Linked DNA regions of Saccharomyces cerevisiae S288C. The protein of the gene in region 1 interacts with the protein of each later gene in a pairwise test. Each region holds a gene or a part of one and is shown on either strand. Other genes may lie near its edges. The genes, in order: URB2 and URB1.

Region 1 (5,836 bases):
GTAAAATTGAGTGTATCTTACCACTAATGATGTCGACGCATGGTTGTTCCCAATCATTTGTTATGTCTACGACGTTAGCTTCCAGTGACATTTGTAAATATTCTGCTGATAGTTCTAATGAGGGGATATAGTATAATAAAAACCCACAAAAGGACTCATACCACGTCCTTGAATACTGCAGAATTTTTCGTTGATTTCCACCAATTACTAACAAGAAATCTTCAATGTAATCCCGTAATTCACCGGAAATATCAGTAGCAGAACTACCAAAGGCTTGACTTAATTTTAGCACCAAATTTTTCCATTCTCTAAATGTACTGGACGAATCTTTTGGATATTGTTTCAGGAGTTCGATGGAGTCACTTACTGCATCAAATGAAACGGCACATGTATCACTCAAATATGGTAAAAGATCTGATCTTTCAATGCAACCTATAGCTTGGGAGAGCAGGCCTCTTAAAACAAGCTGATTCAAAAGCTTCCAGAAATATTGTGTTTCGAACACTTTTTTACCTGCTGTAGAATCCTTCACTGAAAACACTTGTTCAATATATTCTTCATCTGGTTCACCGTCTGATCTATTAATCCAGTTTAGCAATGACTCAATAAACTCTGATCTGTTCTCCTCTACATCCTGACCATCTAATATGAAGTACATTGTCCTCAGACAGTTTAAAACGGTTAAAGATTCTTCCAACTCATAAAATCGGTTCACTCTTCCATCCTGATCCTTGACTCTACCAATAAACACTTCCAATTCATTCAGAATCGCCTCCATGGCCAGATTTACTGTTGCATTATGCTCCTTCGCGAAATTAGAATTAACAACTCCAATCGTTGGTACATTAAACACTCTGTCATCACCTAAATCACGGTAAATTTCAAATAAACCTGATACGTATGCAGAAAACTCTTTGCTGGTATCTAATCTAGGAATTCTAACAGGATAAAGCTTATATTTATCTTTTGCAGTTATGAATGCCATATTTTGGTAAGAAAGTGGCCCCAGCTTGAACTTTAAAGGCATCTTGTCGCCATTTTTTTCAATCGGTTGATCATTTACAGTCATAGGGACCAGGATAGCCCCGCTGACTGGGTCCCTTTTATATAGTTGTTCTTCTTCATCGGTCTTGTTATTACTAAGTTGCGCCGTTCCGTCGTCCAAAAAATCAAATTGATCGACGTCCATAAGTAATCGATTTGAATCATCGATTGTCATATCTGATAATTGCGTTCTGGCTCACGCTTATTGACTCAACTCAAGACCGTAAGTTCAATGTTTTCTATACAACTACAATTTGTACAAGGCTTGACTTCCATCCAACTAAAAAACCTCTCCGTCGTGCGCGATCTGAAAAATTTCACTTAGCTCATCTCAAAATGATCGCTAAGAGGGCACTTGGTCACAACTACAGAATTGTTTACTAGCATAGGAACATCTCTGTCTAAGATTTAGCTTGCCATCAATTATCTTTGGAAAAACAGAGAGTATACTGCACTTTTTGATAATATGGGTGATCTTACAGAAGAACTATCTATCCCAGACAATGCCCAAGATTTGTCGAAATTACTACGTTCGACGAGCACAAAACCCCATCAAATTGCCGAGATAGTTTCAAAATTTGATAAATTAGAAACCTACTTTCCAAAAAAAGAAATTTTCGTCTTAGATTTACTCATTGATAGGCTCAACAATGGAAATTTGGATGATTTTAAGACCAGTGAACATACTTGGATAATTTTCACGAGATTATTAGATGCTATTAATGATCCAATTTCGATAAAAAAACTACTCAAAAAATTGAAGACTGTGCCTGTAATGATAAGAACATTTTTCCTTTGGCCTAAAGACAAATTACTTACACGTAGCGTTTCGTTTATAAAAGCATTTTTTGCGATTAATGACTACTTGATTGTCAATTTTTCTGTTGAAGAGTCTTTTCAACTTTTAGAACATGCCATAAATGGATTAAGTTCGTGCCCGACGACTGACTTTGCGCTTTCATACTTGCAAGATGCCTGCAATCTAACTCATGTTGACAATATTACTACAACGGATAACAAAATTGCTACTTGTTACTGCAAGCATATGCTACTACCAAGTTTAAGATATTTCGCACAGACCAAAAATTCTGCATCTTCAAACCAATCCTTCATTCGTCTATCTCATTTTATGGGAAAGTTCCTTTTACAACCACGCATAGATTACATGAAATTAAATAAAAAGTTTGTCCAAGAGAATGCGTCCGAAATTACCGACGATATGGCTTATTATTATTTTGCCACTTTCGTCACTTTCTTATCAAAAGACAATTTTGCTCAACTAGAAGTCATCTTTACAATTTTAGGTGCCAAGAAACCTAGTTTAGAATGCAGATTTCTGAATCTTTTATCGGAATCGAAGAAAACCGTATCTCAAGAGTTCCTTGAAGCATTATTGCTTGAAATGTTAGCGTCGACTGATGAATCTGGAGTGTTATCATTAATACCAATTATCCTTAAATTGGATATCGAGGTTGCTATTAAACATATTTTTCGGTTACTTGAATTGATTCAGCTCGAAAATTTGAACGATCCTCTCTTTTCCTCTCATATTTGGGATTTAATAATCCAATCACACGCTAACGCAAGGGAATTATCAGATTTTTTTGCCAAAATAAATGAGTACTGTTCCAGAAAAGGACCCGATTCCTATTTTTTGATAAATCATCCTGCATATGTCAAGTCTATAACGAAGCAATTGTTCACTTTATCTTCTTTACAATGGAAAAATCTATTGCAAGCTTTACTTGACCAAGTCAATCACGATTCCACCAACAGGGTTCCTTTATATTTAATACGCATATGCTTGGAGGGACTATCAGAGGGCGCATCGCGCGCAACTCTCGATGAGGTAAAGCCTATTTTATCTCAAGTATTTACTTTGGAATCATTTAATAACAGTCTTCAATGGGACCTAAAGTATCATATAATGGAAGTCTACGATGATATTGTCCCTGCAGAGGAACTAGAAAAAATCGATTACGTGTTATCTTCTAATATTTTTGATACTACATCGGCTGATGTTGAAGAACTGTTCTTTTATTGCTTCAAATTGAGAGAATATATTTCGTTCGATCTTTCTGATGCAAAAAAAAAATTCATGAGGCACTTTGAAATCCTTGACGAAGAAAGAAAGTCAAACTTATCATACTCTGTTGTGTCCAAATTTGCAACATTAGTAAACAACAACTTTACAAGAGAACAAATTTCTTCTTTAATTGATTCATTACTATTGAACTCGACAAATTTATCTTCGTTATTAAAAAATGATGACATTTTTGAGGAGACAAATATCACGTACGCTTTAATAAACAAGCTTGCTTCATCATACCATCAAACCTTCGCTCTAGAAGCTTTGATTCAAATTCCTATCCAATGCATCAACAAAAACGTTAGAGTGGCTCTCATTAACAATCTAACATGCGAATCATTTTGCCTTGATTCCGCTACTAGAGAATGCCTCCTTCATTTATTGTCAAGCCCGACCTTCAAGAGCAACATTGAAACAAATTTCTACGAATTATGTGAGAAAACAATAATGAGCCCCGAAATGGCCATTTCAGAGACAGGTGATGAAAAAAAGGAAATAGAAGACAAAATATCTATTTTCGAAAAAGTTTGGACTAATCATCTGTCACAGGCAAAGGAGCCTGTGAGTGAGAAGTTCTTAGAATCTGGTTACGATATCGTTAAACAGTCAATGTCATTGTCCAATGGTGATAGCAAACTAATTATCGCCGGGTTTACTATCGCAAAATTTTTGAAACCAGATAACAAGCATAGAGATATACAAGGTATGGCAATTAGCTATGCTGTTAAAATTTTGGAAAACTACTCTGAAAATTTTGAATCTGAAACAATTCCCCTTTTCAGAATATCAATGTCTACATTGTACAAGATTATAACGACCGGACAAGGCGATATTTCTAAGCATAAATCGAGAATTCTGGATATATTTTCCAAAATTATGCTTCGATATCATTCTAAAAAAGTGTACCATGCGCCAGAAGAACAGGAAATGTTTTTGGTTCATTCACTCCTTACAGAAAACAAGTTGGAGTATATTTTTGCAGAGTACTTAAATATTGAGCATACAGATAAGTGCGATTCTGCCTTGGGGTTCTGCTTGGAAGAAAGTCTTAAACAAGGTCCTGATGCGTTTAACCGCCTGCTCTGGAACAGTGCTAAATCGTTTTCCACCATTAGCCAACCTTGTGCTGAAAAATTTGTGAGAGTTTTTATCATAATGTCAAAAAGGATTGCAAGAGACAATAACCTTGGTCATCACCTATTTGTGATAGCTTTACTTGAAGCCTACACCTATTGTGATATAGAAAAATTTGGCTACAAGTCATACTTGCTACTGTTCAATGCTATCAAGGAGTTCTTAGTATCGAAACCATGGCTATTCAGCCAATACTGTATTGAAATGCTGCTTCCTTTCTGTTTAAAAACTCTCGCTTTTATAGTAAACCATGAGTCAACGGATGAAATCAATGAAGGCTTTATTAACATCATCGAAGTGATAGATCATATGCTATTAGTTCACAGGTTTAAATTTTCCAATCGTCACCATTTGTTTAACTCCGTTCTTTGCCAGATACTAGAAATAATAGCAATTCATGATGGTACATTGTGTGCAAATTCAGCAGACGCCGTAGCCAGACTAATAACGAACTACTGCGAGCCTTATAATGTATCAAACGCTCAAAATGGGCAGAAAAATAACTTAAGCTCAAAGATAAGTTTGATAAAGCAGTCCATCAGAAAAAATGTACTTGTGGTTCTAACGAAATATATACAGTTGTCTATTACGACGCAGTTCAGTTTAAACATAAAAAAGAGTCTGCAGCCCGGTATTCATGCGATTTTTGATATATTATCTCAGAACGAGTTGAATCAATTGAACGCTTTCCTTGACACACCTGGGAAACAATATTTCAAAGCACTTTACCTCCAATACAAAAAGGTTGGTAAATGGCGCGAAGATTAACTTATGTGTTTTAGTGTGTTTTCAAAAGGCATTTCTCTGCTCACGTTTAATAACAGGGTGACGGAGCTTAAACAAGTAAAAATTGATAAAAGTCTGTATCATATAATTTTGAATAATCTATACTAGCGCCTTAAAAATTACATAAATGTCTAATCATATAACGTTACCATTTCGATTAGTGGTAAACCTTTTGATTATGAAATGGATAACTGACCAACATCTTCTATCAAGTGCTTCATTATATGTAAATTTCGCACCGTGAACTTCTCGATACTTAATTCTTTTGAACCTCAAAATATCTTTAGCAGTGACCAACCCCTTTAAAATTCCACTTTCCTCTACGATGATAGTCTTACAACCTAGCTCTTTAAACATACGGAATAACAATGTTACTGGCACCGCCTTCTTCACCGAGATTGGAGATTCATTCATAATATCCTTAAATCCGATGCAGTTTTCACGATGTCCCAACTCTTCGTTAGACTTATTGAAGTATACCAGTGTCGTTTGAGCTTTGGTGCTATTTACGCTTTGCATCATGATTTTACTGGCTAAGTGCCTTTTTAAAACATAGCCAATACATCTTTTTTCCTTCTCAAACTTATCCTCATCCTTAGTTATTGGAAAACCATGCACAGAATATTCAGACGCTGAGTCGTACAACAAAGATTCAAGCTCGGAAAGGTAAATGGTTTCATTAATAGTAATTAATTTGGAGGACATGAGCTGCTCTGCAGTGTATTTTTCTAAGGTTTCCTCCTCTTCCTCGTCTTGCTCGTCTTCCAAATATGGGAATCCATT
Region 2 (7,659 bases), on another chromosome or scaffold:
TTTTTGTTCTGCGATGGGTTCTACTTTCTTCTCGAAGGCCGGAATAGTCCAGCTGGTTTCTCTTGTTGTTGGATTATAATAGTATACTTTGCCGTCTGCCGTCTTGGCCGCCTTCCAGCCATTTTCTCGAAGAAGTAGCTCCTCCTGAGAAATTAGTTCCTTGGGCTTCTCCCACGTAGATTTCTTTGTCAAAGTATTGTAATAATATATCCTTCCACTTGCATCTTTAGCTTCCTTCCAAATAGACATAGTTTCACGTCTCCCACCTCCGGCAATGCTTGTCTAGTGGTCGATCTGGCTTCAGACCTTGTTATCCTGATAGGTAGGCACGCTATTGCGATGTCATCAACTGCCAGATTTCCAAGTACATTATTATTGTCGATAATTTCATATCGTTTACCACGTCGCCCCTTTTGTATAGCAAAATACAATTATAGAACAAAAAAAGCCTGTAAAGCCAAGCAAATAGAGGCTTTCGGAACAACTCGGTGTCACTTTGACAAAAGATAAAAGAGGAAGCAACTGATAGTAGGAAATGTCACAATCATTACGTCCGTATCTAACGGCTGTTCGTTATTCCCTGGAAGCTGCGTTGACTTTGAGCAATTTCTCTTCGCAGGAAGTGGAGAGGCACAACAGACCGGAAGTTGAAGTCCCTAACACTAGCGCCGAATTGTTGCTCCAACCGATGCATATATCTCGTAATGAAAATGAACAAGTATTGATTGAGCCCAGTGTAAACTCGGTGCGTATGAGTTTAATGGTGAAACAGGCAGATGAAATTGAGCAGATTTTAGTTCACAAGTTTACTAGATTTTTGGAACAGCGTGCTGAAGCATTCTACATTCTGAGACGTGTACCAATACCTGGCTACAGTATTTCTTTTCTAATAACTAATAAGCATACTGAATCAATGAAAACTGGGAAATTGGTTGATTTTATTATTGAATTCATGGAGGACGTGGATAAGGAAATCAGTGAAATTAAACTGTTTTTGAATGCCAGAGCAAGATTTGTTGCGGAAGCATATCTTGATGAATTTGTCTATTAGATTCCTAATATAGGAAAGGGAATCTTTCTCCGTCAGGGCCCTATTGACGGAAAACTTTACGATCTGTACTGACTGTGTTAGTTTGCGTACTCAATTGAACTATTTCGAGACTATTTAGTTAGATACAATAACATGTGTATGTGAATTAATTATAAACGTACTTTTAAATTGCAGTTACTTTGTATAATTATGGTGATTTTTTTAGTACTTAAATTATATTCATAAAAAGGGATTAAAATGTTTCTCCCGACACCTAAAATTAAACTTCAATCTGTCAATTCTAACACAAAACGTTTTCATTTTACGTAAACAAATGAAGATTGAAGATTCTAAAGCATTTATTATTACTGCCGCACTAGTATACGACCAAACTAAAATTATATGATAATAGTGCACCAACATATAGTAAACAGCTTTTACCTATGCACGACTTGCATGAGGATTTCAATATTATATCACTGTAGACGAAATATGAAAAATTTCAGCAATAAAGCTCATCGCAAAGAATAGTTCGGTTATATTCTTGATTGGATATTATTTCTCTAATCTATGCGGTACTACTTCATCTAACAGAACTAGAGGAGCACTTACATAATGAGTAATCATAGCGAAGCCTATGGATCTCGCGACCAGAGAAGGGAGAAGTACACCCAAGGGAAAGAGTTCGAAGACGGTACATTAGAAACACTAGAAAGTATAATCAGTGCAGTCGAAGATGAAACTCTCTCCAAAGATTACCAACCTCTAATAGTGTTCTTCCAAAGAGGATTTGGTGCTCAATTGGTACAGACTTGGTCATATTATGCTCAAGTAAATAACCATGGGAAATTCTCGAAAACTACCTCATTACTGACTAAAACCTTACGAGTTTTGTCATCTGATACTAGTACAGTGACTATTGGGAGCGGTCTAATTAGATTGATATTGACCGATTACACAAAAGTTCTCTATAGAGGGTTGAACAATATGCGTGCGCAATTAACTAATCCAATTCTTCGTCTACTCAAACAAATAGTCAATTTCAACAATGGGCAACATATAGAGGAATTAGTTTCATATTTCGATTTTTCATTACCTATTTTACCAAGACTGTTGGTACCAAGCAAGTCTGAGTTAGCCAATGGGAATTCATCTGCTGATTCATCCAAACATGACTCATTAAGATTTACATTTATCAAGTTTTGGTTGACATTGATCTCAAATGCTTCCCCATTCGTGAGAAAAGAACTTTTGACAGAAAACTTTAAGATTATGAGCAACCTATTTAAATTCATGAATAAGGCTGATTCTGACAAGTTATCTGAGCACATACTATCGGTATTCATAAACGACATTTTAAAGGAGAAATCCTTCAAGAGAACTACTAAAACCAAAATTTTAAATGAACTAGCGGCTTCAAAGATTCATCACTTTTATTATTCATCAAACAAGAATTTGGTTAAGAAGGCAAATGAGTTTTTCTTAACTTTTGGAGCTTCCCGTGACTTTAGCGTAGCATTTCCTGATAATTGCGTTTGGTTCAAAAATTCAGTTGCTGATGGAGCTTCTCATGGAGCTCCGATAACCGTCAACCAAGTGGAATTTCAAATTCATAATAAACTTTTGTTCAACACTTTACGCCTTTTCAAACCTTGGGAAGATACGCTGCAATTAGGTACGTTGATCAAAATATTGGAGAACGTTCCCGAACTTGTTGCTCCTTACAGCATCTTTTTAACGACGAATGGTAACTATGACCCTAAGATGACTTCGTATTGGTTTGGTATAACGTTACTGATTAACAAGATTATTAATCTTAAGATACCGCAATTTATGGAGAAAGTTGATAGCAATATTCCACCTGCCACTTCATTAGTTATAGAAAACATTCTGCCATCTTTGCTCACCAAATCCTCGTTGGTTAAATCCCTACAATTTGAAACACCCATCATAAGACAATTAGCCTGTCAATCAATAGTTCTAGCGTTAAAAAAATTAGAAAAAGTTTCCACATTTTATGATCAAAAAGGCTGGAGAAATGAAAAAACTATTTTACTCAACGAGTTTCATACTAGAATTCCTGATTTACCAATCTTCGTATCTACTTTGAGCAATTCTTTGGCTTCCAATAAGGATAATAGAATTTTACCTCTGTCCATATCCATCATATTCAACTACTATAGTAAAATGTTCCCCAACCTCTTCTCAATTAACCTACCATCATCAAATATTTACACAGATATCATGCAAAAATCCAAGATTTCTGGCATAGAATTTGCTATTCTGGACAACTACTTACAATTTCAAGAATTTAACTCTACTCAAACCAGGTGGTGGAATCCAAGTTCTGGTGGAAATTCTTTATTCACCCTACTATTAAAGCTAGCATCCTCCAAAAATGCTTCTAACGTGATAACTACAAGAATATCCAACTTGCTCGATGAGCTGACGAGAACAAACGTTATCTTCAACATATCTTTAATTTCACCAGTGATGGCTTTAGTGAATAGTCTTCAAGGGCTTTCCCTTCAAGTTTCTGAAATTGACAACATGGAACAAGTCTGGAAGTGGTTTGACGAAACTATATCTCGTGTCGTAAAAACACCATACAAGTACGTCGATATGGCAAAAGAGTATAACTACATTTCTCCCTTCATAATGTGCCTTTCAGAGCAATGGAAATACGTTGACAAGAGTGGAAACCCAGAGTTTTTAATTAAATGGCTTATACTTTTTCTTAGAAACATGATTTTCATTGGTGAAGACCATATAGGCATAGATAAACTTGTTAAAAATGTCTTTCCTGAGGTCTCTGATCATGATGTTAATATATACTTGAAACTTGACTCATTTGAAGAAAACATAAAGAAAACTAATAGCTCTAATTCTTTAATTTCTTCAATGAAGAGCTCATCTTTTTTCCAGTATATTTCGGCGCTTCCATCTAAAAATCTAATGAATATTTCTAGATTACCAGTGAACAAATTAGATGCGGCAGGAATCCTTTTTAGAGTTCAGTTATTGGTAGAAGACGATTCTGTTGTATATGACAATTGGTTCGAAGCAACTGCCTGTGAGTTAACTGGCAAGATTGCTAGCTACATGGTAACAGACACAGAATTCCCAATTATCAAAGTTTTGGAAAGGTATATAAATTTCGCTTTACCAAAACTGGCCATTGAAAAAAGAAATGCTCTACTCATGAAAAAATCAAGGTTCATGTGCAATTTAATCGGTGCAGTATGCTTTGAAACAGGCCATCAATTAGTGGAATTCCGAGAAATAATTCAAAAAGTCGTGTTTAGTGGTGAAAATGTCGAAGAGTATGCCAACTATAATGAGTTGTATCAGAAAGAAGATGTAAATGCTTTCTTAACAAGTGTTAGTGAGTATTTAAGTACTTCAGCTTTAACTTCGCTACTCATGTGTAGCACCAAACTAGAGTCCACAAGAAACATTCTCCAAAAATTATTCAACGAAGGAAAAACTATAAAAATATCCCTTGTAAAGAATATACTGAACAAAGCTGCAAATGAAGATCCTGCTTCAATTAAGGAAGTAAACATCTCTTTGGCTAAATTTTTTGAAGAAAACAAAGTTTGTGTTGATGCTTCATCTGATCCTATGGGTAAGCTATCCCTTTCAGAAACTACTTCTCTGATAAATAGTTTTGTGTCTAGTGATTTGAATTATCTAGTACTGAAAGCTTTTTACAGATGGGAACATTTTTCTTTCCCATCTTTCATACCAAGTATCTGGAGGATCAAGGATTCACCTTTACTAAGTATTGTAACAACGGCTGCTTTGTTCAAGCACATGCAGGATAAAGATTTTAGCGCATTTGCGCATGAAACCATTTCCAAGTATGGTAATGAAATTGCGAAAAGTACTTACACTACCTCGAAAAGTGAGATTTTTGACGAAATATTAAATATGATTACCACTTATATTGATTTCTATGACGAAACGAAACGAAATGAAATTTTGAAATGTGTTTTATCACAGAGCGACCATAAATATCATGCTGCTACAGTAAGATACATAGCTGCACACAATAATTTTACTTATCCAGGGGTAGAAACATGGTTACATAAAACTCTTCTTTACCTTACAAAGTACCTTTCAGAAAGAAAAGTTATCTCCAATTCTTTTTTTGAGTTACTAAGAGCGATGGCTGAGCTCTTAAAACTTGAAGAGGTACCAAATAAGTTGAATGTCAAAATCATTAATTCTCAATTAGAGGCTATTCTAGGCAGTGAGTGGATCAAACAAATTAAGGTTCTTGAATACGTTATTGTATTAATTTTTTGTGTGAGCAAAAAGTCAATTCAATCGCAAAGAATGGTTCAACTTTTATTAAGCAATGACAGTTACTCATCAATAATGATTAAAGACAATGATGAAGATTCATCGTATCGAAAGTTCTTAAGCACAATGATATTATTCTCTTTATTCAGCATCGACCCGGTCGTAAATTCGACGCCAATAGTTCAAGAGAAATTATTGACTTTTTACTCCGGTACTATTTCCAGTAACGACAAGTTGATACTGAAAATTCTAGAAACTATCGAATCTCACACCGCTACTTCATGGACAAACATGATTTTTTCTTGGGAATTTATCAAAGACGAAGAGGAAGAAATCTTGGAAGCCATTGGAGACACGAGGCTGATTACCAAAGAAAGGGAGGGGTTGATACTAACACTACAAAAAAACATGATCAAAAAGTCCATTGACAGATACGTATTGGAAAGGCCTCAAGTCCCTGAATTATATACCGATTCTAATACAAACAATTATGATGCTACTACAAGGTGTGACCTAGTCAAAAAGTACTACGATGATACCGAACGATCTGGTGTTGATATGTACGATCCATTATTTTTACTGCTATTAATAATCCATAACAAAGAGCTGGTAAAAATGGTCAAAGATGACGAGGGCAATGTAACATACAGATATGAATTTGAAAATTTCCTTGATTGCAAAATATTTCAGTTTATTATTTGCTCATTAAGCGATTGTCATACCGTTGCCAATATAAGTTACGAACATTTATCAAATTTAGCTTCTTCTTTGGAGAAGAAAACTGCCCAGATGAATCTTGAAAAGCAAATAACTAGCAAGGATAATGAAAGAAAAGAATCTGATAGCGATTTAATCAAATATAATAGCATTTACCAAGTGTTGATTAAAAGGATTTTATACCAGAGACAACAAAATCAAGATCCTATCAATCCGTTAATTTGGTTTTCTATCTCTAGAATTGTTGATCTATTGGGAAGTCCAACTGCGCCCTTACATGAGAAGGCATACCGCTGGGTATTATCAAATTCTACCATACGTAGTTGGGACATCCCTATGGTATCTGATGTGATGATGTCCTACAATAAGAGACAACAAGATGACAATAAGAAAGAAATTGATATGGAAATATACTATGGAGAATTGAGTTGGGTTTTAACAACCATTTGTAAGGGAATTAAAACGGATGAAGATTACAAGATGTTAGAGAAGAAAGGTGTATTTGAATGGTTGTTAAACTTGATCAATATGCCATACTTGAAAGAAAGATTACGCGAACTAATCTATTTTATTTTTTACAAAGTCCAAAGGGTAGCAGATGATGGTGGTTTGAATTTAATTAGCAGAAACGGTATTGTGTCGTTTTTCGAGGTTTTGAACAATAACATCAAATCTAGACTACCACAGGACGATATACTGAACAACATTGGTACTTTACGGAACGAAAACAGAGGTACATTAAATACTACTTTGAGGTTAGCCCAAGAACAAAACGGAATTGAAAAACTACTATTAGGCTACAACGAGCTTGTCAAATCACAAAAAAGGCTAATATTATGGACAGAAGGTGATAGCGACAATGTTGTCAAGAGGCTACGTAAATGAGCTGTCTTGTGATAGATATTTTAAATAAGATTTGAAGAATTAAATGTCCACTTTTCTATATAATGTGCGAAATGTATAATATATGCATAAGAAAACAAAGAAATCAGTATTTTCTTCTTTGTCTTTGTAATGGTGTTATGGTCCTAAATAATCAGTAAAGTCAATTTCACTACCAGCAGCTGCAGTTGGATCCATAGTATTTCCCAGCCACATTGCTTGATCAGTGATTTCCTTCCAAAGTTTTTCATCGGAATGATCAATATTGCCTAAATCCTCCAACAATTGTTGTAAATCGTCATCATTTAGATTATGAACGGAATCCAACTGATCCATGTTTTTTTCCATCACCTGAGAGCCCTTTTCAGTTAGCGTGGTTTGGTATGAATTTTCCAAGCTCGCAGTTATGATATCAAAAAAAGTAGAAGGTTCCGAGTTATTGACGTTAATATCATTAACATCATTATTACCATTACTATAATCAGTCAGCGTTGGTTTCGCGCCTTCCGGAAGTATGCTAACAATGTTCGATATAGATTCGTTCTTGATCATATTTGTATTGGTGTTTGATTTATCACAGTCTATAATTGAAGGGTCAATGCGATCGCCATCTTTGTGAGGTTTACACTTTTCGGTTTCTCTTTTGGGTTCATTGCTATCTTCTACTATGTTATCGTTTTCACAATTCATAGAATCAAATTTCAAAATATCGTTATATTTAG

What was found.
Region 2: the proteins of URB2 (region 1) and URB1 interact in binary tests that used the Saccharomyces cerevisiae proteins (3 or more experiments, as listed by UniProt).

Annotation. Positions count from the first base shown.
Region 1 is NC_001142.9:509,438-515,273, reverse strand, and holds URB2 (ribosome biogenesis protein URB2), read left to right. Parts: upstream 1-1,510; coding exon 1,511-5,035; downstream 5,036-5,836. Other genes in the region: NUP85 (Nup85p), read right to left, coding at 1-1,219; GEF1 (Gef1p), read right to left, coding at 5,189-5,836.
Region 2 is NC_001143.9:410,900-418,558, reverse strand, and holds URB1 (Urb1p), read left to right. Parts: upstream 1-1,645; coding exon 1,646-6,940; downstream 6,941-7,659. Other genes in the region: snoRNA-splicing protein PRP40, read right to left, coding at 1-249; ARC19 (Arc19p), read left to right, coding at 536-1,051; PUT3 (Put3p), read right to left, coding at 7,076-7,659. UniProt on the Saccharomyces cerevisiae protein: Required for 60S ribosomal subunit formation and pre-rRNA processing. Required for normal accumulation of 25S and 5.8S rRNAs.